Canis lupus familiaris: one gene and its partners. The protein of the gene in region 1 purifies or fractionates together with the protein of each later gene. This does not show direct contact. Links are inferred from orthologs where the notes say so. Each region holds a gene or a part of one and is shown on either strand. Other genes may lie near its edges.

Evidence for each region.
Region 2: the proteins of CDK14 (region 1) and CCNY purify together in Homo sapiens (affinity purification with western blotting; 3 studies listed by BioGRID and IntAct, with this or other methods). This does not show direct contact. The link is inferred for Canis lupus familiaris from reciprocal best matches to the Homo sapiens genes CDK14 and CCNY.
Region 3: the proteins of CDK14 (region 1) and CDKN1A purify together in Homo sapiens (affinity purification with mass spectrometry; 3 studies listed by BioGRID and IntAct, counting the BioPlex papers as one, with this or other methods). This does not show direct contact. The link is inferred for Canis lupus familiaris from reciprocal best matches to the Homo sapiens genes CDK14 and CDKN1A.

What each region holds. Positions count from the first base shown.
Region 1 is NC_049235.1:16,409,649-16,413,769, forward strand, and holds the start of CDK14 (cyclin-dependent kinase 14), read left to right. Parts: upstream 1-1,321; 5' UTR 1,322-1,418; coding exon 1,419-1,509; intron 1,510-4,121. UniProt on the Homo sapiens protein: Serine/threonine-protein kinase involved in the control of the eukaryotic cell cycle, whose activity is controlled by an associated cyclin.
Region 2 is NC_049223.1:1,649,626-1,653,125, forward strand, and holds part of CCNY (cyclin-Y), read right to left. Parts: intron 673-3,500; coding exon 615-672; intron 532-614; coding exon 412-531; intron 1-411. UniProt on the Homo sapiens protein: Positive regulatory subunit of the cyclin-dependent kinases CDK14/PFTK1 and CDK16.
Region 3 is NC_049233.1:5,931,229-5,934,092, reverse strand, and holds part of CDKN1A (cyclin-dependent kinase inhibitor 1), read right to left. Parts: intron 1,035-2,864; 5' UTR 1,024-1,034; coding exon 579-1,023; intron 1-578. UniProt on the Homo sapiens protein: Plays an important role in controlling cell cycle progression and DNA damage-induced G2 arrest. Involved in p53/TP53 mediated inhibition of cellular proliferation in response to DNA damage.

The DNA.
Region 1 (4,121 bases):
AGCCGTGGCTGCACCACGTTTTAATAGAATGAAGACGAGGTGTGTTTGCTGCCTGAACTGTTTGTTCTGGGATTTTCATAAAGCCTCTCTCACCCCCACCCCCCTCCTTTTTAAAATTTATTTTTTGAGGTGGGGGAAGAGGAGGTCAGAATCTTTTCGGCCTCTAAGTCTTCCAGTTTGGAAATATATTCTAAAATTGGTGAGGGGACGAAGGACTTTCTGTTTGCTATGGACTATGGCCCTGGGTTTTCATATCAGAAATTGGCTGCATGCACGTTCCCATCAGCCGCGCAGACTGGCACGGGGGCGAAGAAGGCCGCATCCGCCCTGCCTCGGGGGGTTGCAGTCGACGCTTGGACGTTGGCGCTTGACTCCCCTTAAAAAAACGGCCCACTTTTCCCTTTGCATCTTTCACTTCACAGCCTTCTTGGCAAACTGGGGGGGGGGGGGAGTCCCCGCCCAACCCGAGTGGTCCCCAGGCCTTTCCATCCCCGTGACCCAGAGGCAGCGGTGGCGGCCACCCCCGCCCCCCAACGCCTCGCTCATTCCACGCGCGTTCGTGGCGAGGGGGAAACCACTCCCGCAAGCGGCCCTGTGGGCGGGGGCCTCCCCGCGGCGTGGGCCCGTGAGCCCGAGCGCCCAGTCGGCTCGCAGCCCTGCGCGTTCGAGGCCCTCGGCCGGCCGGGAGCTGGAGCGCGCGGGCGGGCGGGGCGCGGCGGGGCGGGGCGGGGCGGGGCGGGGCGGCCGGGGGGCCGGGAGGGGGCGCGCGGGGGCGGGGAGGGGGCGCGCGGGGGCGCGAGCCGGGCGGGGAGGGGGCGGGCGGGGAAGCCGCCGCCGACGCGGGCTCGGAGCCGCGGGCCGAGGTCCCGTTGGGGTCCGGCGCTCGGGGTCCCCTGTCCCCTGCCCGGGAGGGGCGGGGCGGGGCGCTGCGGGCGGCGGCTCCGCGCCGCGCGGCTCTTTCTCGCCGAAGCCCGAAAGTCGGGGCTGAGAACTTCTCCCCGCCCGGGCCCCGCGCCCTCGGCGACCCCCGCCTCCCGCACCCCGTTCCCGGCCGGCCCCGCCCCGCCCCGCCCCGCCCCCGGCCGCGCCGCCCCCACTGCCGGCCTCCGACCGCGCGGCTCTCGGTTACAAAGGAGGGAAAATGAGGCGGGCGGCGCGGCGCGGGGGCCCCGGCACCACGTAGAACGCCCCCGCCCGGCCGGCCGCGGCCCAGGCCCGCTCCGAGCCTGCAGCCCGCGGCCGCCCGAGCCGGAGCCCGAGCCCGAGCCCGAGCCCGAGGAGGAGGCGGAGGCGGAGGCGGAGGCGGGGGCGGGGGCGGGGGCGGAGGCGCCGCCTTCTCCTCGCCGCGTGCCCTCGCCGTTGTCTGCGCTCCGCTCTGGACCAGTCTGGGGAAGTTGGCGGAGCCCCGCGTCGCCCAGATGTGCGACCTCATTGAGCCGCAGCCGGCCGAGAAGGTCGGCAAGATGAAGAAGTTGCGGAGAACTTTGTCGGAGAGTTTCAGCCGCCTGGGTGAGTGGCGCGCAGCCCCGGGCCGCCGGCGGTGGCCTCGGGCGCCGGCTCCTCCTCCCCGCGCTCCGGGCGCCTCCGCTGCGGCCGCGGCCGAGGGTGCGCTGCGAGCGGGCGGGCGGTGGGGCGAGCCGGGCTCGGACCCGCGGCGGGGGCGGGGCGCAGGGGGCGCAGGGGGCGCAGGGGGCGCAGCCCTCTCCCTCCGGGTCCGGGGGCCCGTTTGGGGGGGACCGTAAGCCTCCGATTGGGTCCCCTCTCCTCGCCCCTAGCGCTCGGGCTTTCGCGCCCGCGGCGGGCAGGCGACGGGACGCCCCGGGCCCCGCTGCGCTCCCGGCTGCGCGCCCGCCTAGGTCACTTGCTATTTTTTTTTTTTTTTTTTCTTGCGCGCAGGCTTTGCTCTGAGGTGTTTAGTCAATAATTCAGCTTTGGAAACTGGTGAAACGTTGAGCCGTGCCTTGGTATTGTTTAACCCATCCAAGCTAAAGGGAAGTGGGACAGCTACCTTGGGACCTTTTGTTCGGTACTTCGGGTCCTCGAAAGCGAGATTTGGCAGTTCCGTCCCGAGCTCTCCGGGTCTTTCCATTGCAGCAAATAAAATGCGCGCTGTGAACTTCTCGGAACATTTAGGAAAAAGTCTCCCGAACTTCTTACATTTGCTACGTCTCCGGAGCTATTGTCTTTCAACCAACCAACCGATCTACAAATAAAAACCGACTGAGAAATGTTTAGGATATTTAAGAATAAATCCATGTCACAGACCATCACAGGGTGACAACTCTATTATGCGGAATGGGTTTGTTAGCCTTTTAGGGTTGGCCATAGAAAACCCCTTTCAACCTGAAGACGGTAGCTGCTCTTTTCTAACGTTATAACTTACATTTATATAGGTAACTGTTTTCAGGAGGAAAATCATACAAGCACTAAAAATAACCCCTCAGATTCCCTAAGAAACCTTCTAGCCTTTGTTTCACTTGTTTAACATGTCATCCATGTTAATGAAGGTGTTAATGGAAATTAAGCATAAGGTACTTAATTCCTTAAAATAAACCCTTGGGGTGCATTTGAGTATTGTAGTCATCCTTCCATCCCTTCCTTTAAAAAATCATTATATAAGTGCACTCTAAAATATGCAAACTTTGTTCAAGTAAGAGAAAATATAGATTAAAAATTTAGCCTCGTTTTCTTTGTTGTCTTTTACTTAAAATTTCCTATTGGTATACAAAATCTTTCCCCAAATGACTATAAAGTTATGGTGTATGGTGACTATAAAGTATTTAATCCTGGTTTTACTTATTACATGTATTGGATATTTGCAGTTTCACTTTTACTTAGTGATGCAAATGAAGTTTGAAGCCAAGGAGAATGTGAGTGAGAGCAAGGTGTGTTGAGTTGGTGTACATTTTTAAGGAGGTTGTTCGGTGGGGACCCAAACCATCACAGAGGTAGCAGGTTCTGGAGTCCATTAAGTCTTGTTCTAAAACACATTAACTGTATATTTACTAATGCTAATGACTCTGTTGGAGCCCTTCCAGTTTTGTGTTAAATAATTCATTGCACTTGAATCTCAGTAAGAAACCAAAGACATTAATTTAAAAATTCCTTATGTTTAAGCAAATTCAAGATTTTGATCGACAATCAGTAAAATTTGTATTAACTACAATGCCGCCAAATGGGGTATTACAGTTAATTGGATTTCCTAGCTTACCGAGACTTAGTGATGTGAAACTCCTTTTGATTCCAACACTTGTTAAAATATCTAGTAGATTTTACTTCCTCCTTCTCAGAAACAGTAGAGTGCAGTGGACATAACCGATTATTTCTTGTATTGATAGAGGGTCATGATTCTGAATAGTGACTCTCATTCTGGAATACTGTAAAAGGAGATGAAGAGATTGTATGTGGTTATGCTTGTATAGCAAACCCAAGGCATATAGCAAGTGGGATTACAGAAAAATGAATCTTTGTTTTCTATGTGTTTTCTTAATGATTTATTTGCAAAATTAAAAAGCAATAAAATCAGTTCGATGATGTAAAGATGTTAAGGTACTCGAGGCTGCTGAATTGAGTTTTTATTTTTATTTTTAAAAATATTTTATTTATTTATTTATTCATTTATTTATTTATTTATTCATGAGAGACAGAGAGAGAGGGAGAGAGAGAGACACACACAGGCAGAGGGAGAAGCAGGCTCCATGCAGGGAGCCTGATGTGGGACTCGATCCCGGGACTCCAGGATCAGCAGGTGGTCAACCCCTGAGCCACCCAGGGATCCCCTGAAGTGAGTTTTTAATACGGAATTATATAGTGAATAGATTAAGGGTGTGGGCTGTGTGTGTCAGACCACTGGGGATTTCCCATCTTGCCACTTGTAGCTATGTGACCTTGGACAGGTCCCTCAACTTTTGAGCTTCAGTTTTTCACGTACAACTCAGTTTTGTTATTGGCACTTGGTGGAATAATGCATATCATGTCCTGTATGGTATGTAGGGCAGACTCAGTAGATGTTCATAATGTGTTATTATCATTATTGGTGATCACATCATATTGACATAATTGATCTTCTAGGTGGGAAGAAAGAGAAGGGAAGTGGCTACTGACTTTACAGTATAAAAACT
Region 2 (3,500 bases), on another chromosome or scaffold:
ATATGTCCACATTGTGTGTGAATATCTTACACATTACTGACACAAAAATCACAAAAGAGAAGGCAGTAATACACAGCACGTCTTCCTATACAGGTATTCACAAAGGATATATGTGTCCATCGGATCTTATTAATGTCATTAAAATCTTTGCACAGAATCAACAACAGGAAACCTGGACATTTATTGTTTTTGAATGTGATTTTATAACTGACTTTCAGTGGGGACTGTGGAATGGACTTCACACCCTCTTTTGGGGGATCCATTATGTATTCTTCCAAAACAACAACAACAACAACAAAGACAACCTTGAAGGCGAAGATGTAGTTTCCCTAAGGTAGCTGGTAAGACTCTCTGCTTACCATCTCTGCCAGCGAACTACAGAATCGCTGCAGTCATCATGAAGGCACTCACCAGGGTGACAATGGCACATTCAGCTGTCAGCTGAGCAGCACTGAACAGTGTCCGAACAAACCGGTAAATCTGTTTCTGCTCGGGGTTGTGTTTGTCATAATCTGGTGGCACTTCGGATTTCTGGGGAAGGAAAGAGTTTCAGATGACTGGCCACCCAATAAAAACAAAAGAGAAATAATTAAACAACATCAGGAGGAGATTACCGAAAGAGGGTGAAGGTTTTCATCAAAAATATCTAAGAGCATCCTTCCATCTGGGTCCCTGGTGGGGAAAATAAGAGACAATAGAGTTTACTTTCTGCAAGAATGCCATTCAAAATAAGATAAAAATATATTTTGATTTGACATATTTCAAGAAACTAAAGTCAATGTTAAATGTAGGAGATGCTATTGGTTATCCACAAGTAATTTTCTTATGTATAATATTTAACCATTTTTGTCTGAACAGTCTATGAAACAAAGGTTATAAACCACATTTAGTTGAATTAACCTAAGCAAAAATACTGAGATTTTCATTTTCTGAGTATTCAAATGAACCAAATCTAAGCAAGTGACAAACTTCTTTAAACATTTTGCTTCTCAGCAAAGGTGGATGGATATACTTAAACCATCCCTATACAGTAGTTGAATGGAAAGAAGTTTGATAAAAATGAACATTCAGGATGTTCTAGAAAGTAATTTGGAGTTTTCAGAACATACAACTTAAACACTTTGTTAATTAAGAGTTTCACAATTTTATATTGAAAAACAAGAGATGATGTGTAGAAAAGCTTAACTCAGTAACCCATAAACCTATAAAAGAATGGTTGGTTGCTACTAGGCCAGAAAATGTCATTTAACGTGGTGACAGTACCTTGAGTTTGGTTGGGCTCTACAGAGACGAACTGCACACTTCACCAGCAAAGCTCTGCTTTCATCTGTTTTATGTCATTTGACTTCTGCCTAAAAATGGTTCTTTAAAAACCAAATTTGGAAACTGGTGCTTTGGTAACAGCATATAAATTCCATAGTCTGTGCTTCCAAAGTCTATTAGGCTTGTGAATATCAGAAGGGTATAGACCTGTCCCTAACATATACCTTTCATAGTAAACACCACAATTTCTGCTCTATAAATTTACTGCCTGCATAAAAATAATATAGAAAAAAGAGCTTAAGGGGATCCTTGGGTGGCTCAGCGGTTTAGCGCCTGCCTTTGGCCCAGGGCACGATCCTGGAGTCCCAGGATCGAGTCCCGCTTCGGGCTCCTGGCATGGAGCCTGTTTCTCCCTCTGCCTGTATCTCTGCCTCTCTCTATATATATGTCTATCATGAATAAAAAAATAAATAAATCTTTTTAAAAAAAAGAAAAAAAAGCTTAATTGAACAGCTAAGTTTTTATTACTCTATTTATACAACAGGAATTATTTTTAAAGCTTTGGGCATTCATACCTGTGTTCATTTTCACTAGCCTATGGGAATACAGCCAATAAAGCTTTAGATGAGCTGTAGTAAAAGAAAGGACTAGGCAGGACCTGATAACAGGGTCTGAAAACAAAGCTCCTTCTGGGTGCACTCAGTTATACTTCCTTTTATAATGACCTGGTTATGAAGAACCAGTTGGTTCTCATCTCACTAACAACCTCTGCAAGATATTCGAGGTGCTGTGTAAAAGACAAAACCTGGCCCTGCACCCCATTTTCTTGGGCAGTTCAGCCCTGATCAATATTCCTGATGAATAACAGACCCTTAAAAGCCATTCAGCATTCTAGAGAAATACTCACCAGAAGTAAGTTTAAAAATAAAAACAGGATGAAAAATATAAAATGAGGATTAAGAATTTAAGCTAAAATGACTCTGGAAGAAAACTGACTCCTCTGAGAAATGAATTTTCCTTTCACTTTCATTGAAAGCTATGTATCCCAGGGCACCTGGGTGGCACAGTTAGTTAAGCATCCTACTCTTGGTTTCAGCTCAGATCATGATGTCAGGGTCCTGGGATCGAGCCCCACTTTGGGCTCCACACTCAGCATGGAGTTTGCTTGAGATTCTCTCTCCTTCTCCTGCCCCTCCCACTAGTTTTCTCTCTCCCTCAAATAAATACACAAATATTTAAAATATAATAAAAGGAAAGAAAGCTATGTATCCCAGAGGCACCAAGGTGGCTCAGTTAGTCAAGCGTCCAACTCTCAAGTTTGGCTCAGGTCATGATCTCAGGATTGTGAGATCAAGCCCCATGTCAGGCTCTGCACTGGGTATGGAGCCTGCTTCAAATTCTCTCTCTCTCTCTCCCCAACACCCCCACCCCTGTGCAAGCCCTTGAAAGCAAGCAAGCAAGCGAGCAAGCAAGCAAGCTGGCTAGCTATGTATCCCAGCTGAGTAGCAGCCTCTCTATCAAGCTACTGTATCTATCACCAGCTCCAGAAGTGAGGCCAGTATGACTGATTGAGAAGAAAATCTACAGGGTCATGCCACTTCTTCCCAAAGATCTTCAGGTTATAATCTGTGGATTTATCATGCTTGTTTCTAAACACTTGCTTTTTTAGTTGGATGTTCTCCACTTCTTCTCACTAACTTTTGGTCAATTTATCACCATTAACCCACTAGATTATATGATTAAAAGTCTCAGTATATTGTTTGGGTTCAATCCTCAATTCCCCAGTTCATTAGCTGTGCTATCTTAGGCAAATTATTTAATATCCCTGTGCCTCAGTTTCTTTACCTCTAAAATAAAGATAACGTATCACCTCATGGTACTGTTTTTAAAAATAAATGAGATAATGCATATAAATAGCTGATCAGGGTAGTCAGTGCTTAATAAAGCTGGCTCTTATTATTACCAGTTATGGCTACAAAATAACTTTGAGATCCACTGCAGTCTAAGAACTGAGAAATCACTTAGAGATGCTAATGCAAAATTGGTCTGAAAGAACATCTGAGTTTCACTAATGGTATTACGTTGTTATTTAAGACTTAAATTTTTAAAAGTTTGAACTGTTATCTGAGAAATGGGCAGCAAGACAAAAATTTGCACTTTCACTGATACACTATTCTGGTCAAGGTTCAAAGTTCCACAATGCTACATTTTCTAAATTCTTAAATCTAAATTCTCAA
Region 3 (2,864 bases), on another chromosome or scaffold:
AGCCTTGCTCATTGATTTTTTTTTTTTTTATCAAGCACCTACTATATGCCAGACACTGTCCTAGGTGCTGGGGATTCAGCAATGAACAAGAAAGATGCAGATCCCTTTCTCGTGGAGATAATCACTTCATGAGGGACATAGACAATCTTAAGATAAGGAAGTAGCTGTTGATAGTAAAATCAAGCAAGCAAACAAACCATATGCCAAAGAAAAAAATAAGGAAGATGGATGGGAGTCTGCTTCTCCCTCTCCCTCTGCCACTCCACCCCTCAACCCCCCCACCCCCGTTCGCATTCTTTGACTCTCTCAAATAAATAAATCTTTAAAAAAAAAAAAAAAAAAGGAAGGAAGCAAAAAGAAACCGTCTTAGAAATTCACCTTAGCAAGGGGCTTGGCCTATAATAAATGTTCCCAATAAATGTTAGCTAGCTGGTCTTGGCTGTAGACCTGCCGAGTGACTTCCTCTCTCTGGCCTGTTTCCCTCTGGGCCTGATGAGCCAGCTGAACCCGACAGGCCAGCCCCTGCACCACGGATTCTGAGAGTCCCCTGCAGTGTCCTTCCCCACACCCATCCTCACCTGTCATGCTGGTCTGCCGCCGTTTTCGGCCCTGAGAGGTGCCAGGCACACCCGGGGATGCCTCAGGCCGCTCAGGGGAGTGAGGCAGGAGGGTGCAGGTCAGCGACAGGTCCAGGTGGTCCTCCTGAGCTGTCCCCTGCAGCAGGGCAGGCGAGGTGCCGGGCCGCTTGCCCCCTCCCAGGTCATCCCGGCCCCCCCGGGGCCCCGCAGGCAGGGAGACCTTGGACAGGCCCAGGCCCCGCACGCGCTCCCAGGCAAAGTTGCCTTCCAGCGGCGTCTCGGTGACGAAGTCAAAGTTCCATCGCTCCCGGGCCTCTTGCACACAGCTGGCCATCAGCGCGTCACAGTCCCGGCGCAGCTGCTCGCTGTCCACGGGGCCGAAGAGGCGGCGGCAAGCCTTGCTGCCATGAGGGATGGGCAGGGCGTCCCTGGACGGCTCCGACATGGCACCTGCAGCTGAGACACAAGGCCCCCGGTCACTTGGGGAATGGCACCCTGCCCTAGCAGGCCGGGCTTCCTGTGCAAGCTCAGAGGGGAGCTTCCTACTAGAACACGAGGTCTCTGAGTCCTTCCAGCTGATTCTCCACCATCTCCTCCCCACAGGCCACTCCCAGCCCCCAGTCCACAGCCCCCGGATGGGGCCAGAACTCAGCCATCCTGGCACCCCAAGGTCACTGGGGGAGTGGGCAGCTGAAGGACAGGTTCTGTCAACAAAGACAAGTTTATTGCATTAGCAGGATCGGAGTCCTGTTTACCACCAGTATTATCAACTAAAATCAATGAGTTTCCCCCTCGAGGTGTCCTTCATGGGTGTGAATTACCAGAGTCCAGTAGTTTCCCAACCCCAGCCCGGACCAAAAGGTCAGGTCCCAAATGAAAGGGCAGGCTGACAGCAACTCTGGCCTCCTGAATCCCTCTACCAAGATACCCATGTGGGATAATTCTGTTCTGAAATTCAAAAGTACCCCCAGGGTTTTGGGATAAAAAGAAAAAAAAAAAAAAAACCCCACCTAGGATCTATTCCTAGCTCTGCTGCGTATTACATAAACTTTAAAGTCACTTAAAGGGGTGCCTGGGTGGCTCAGTTGTTTAAGTGTCTGACTTTGGCTCAGGTCATGATCCTGAGGGATGGAGCCCTGCATTGGGCTCCCTCCTCCACAGGGAGTCTGCTTCTCCCCCTCTCTCTGCCTCTTCCTCGGCTTGTGCACAACTCTCTCTCTCTCTAATAAATAAATAAAATCTGTTAAAAATAAGTCACTTAAAAATGTTAAAGATTAAAAAAATAAAGTCACTTAATGTCTCTGGGCCTCAATTTTCTCATCTATAAAAAAATGGGGCTGTGCAAGCATGCTCAAGCAATTGGTCAGGGAGTCCCTTCTAGCAAGGCAATAGAACAGAGGTGGAGGCTCTATCCTGTAGTTAAGAGTGAGGGCTCTGGAGCAGGACTGCCTAGGTTGGAATCCAGGCTCCGCTGGGTGACCCTGCACAAATAGCTTAACTTCTCTCAACTCTATTTGCCTCATCTGTAAAATGGAGACAGTAATAGTGAATGTCTCAGAGGACAGATGTGAGGATTAACTGAGTTAACGTAGGTAACAGGCAGAGAAGCAGCTGGTATATAGAAGCTGGTATATAGAAGTGTTATTATTTCTCTGTGTTCAGTTCTGGCTGAGTCTTCCCCCCCTTCCCCCACCACCACCTCCTTCAGACAGCAGCTGACAGGTGCTGTGTGCTGGGGGCCTTTCCCAAGGATGTCATCAGGCGGGAGGCCTGGAGGTGAGGAGGGGCTGGGCAGGGCAGGCCAGGGTGATGATTTCTCCCAGGCTGAGCCACATCCTGCCAGGCACATCAGGTGATCTGAAGTCTAGACAGCCTGGAAGCCTCTGCCTGTGTTAGCTGCATCTGAGGAACCCGTTTTGCGGGCAAAGAAAATTAGAGTTGACCGGTCTACCTGGTTCCTCTCCTTTCACTTCAGAAGAGGGAAAACCGAGGGTGAGTTTGCTCATGACGAAGTGCTGGCACCTACCTGCCCTGCTCTGGCCTGACTCCAGGGCTGAGCGGCTTTGCAACCTTGGCAGGGACTGGCTTTTCCCCCGAGGACAAGTCCTGCTTTGCAGGCTCTGAGGGTGAAAGCTCTGCTGAGTGACCTCCTGGGGCAGGAAGCCCTGGACCCTTGCCACAGCTCCCCCTCCCCACCCCACCTCCCACAGCTTATAGGAGAGAGGACACATTAGGTGACCTCAGACCAAGTTTAAAGGGCAAGCGTTTAGAGAGATACGAGGCTTG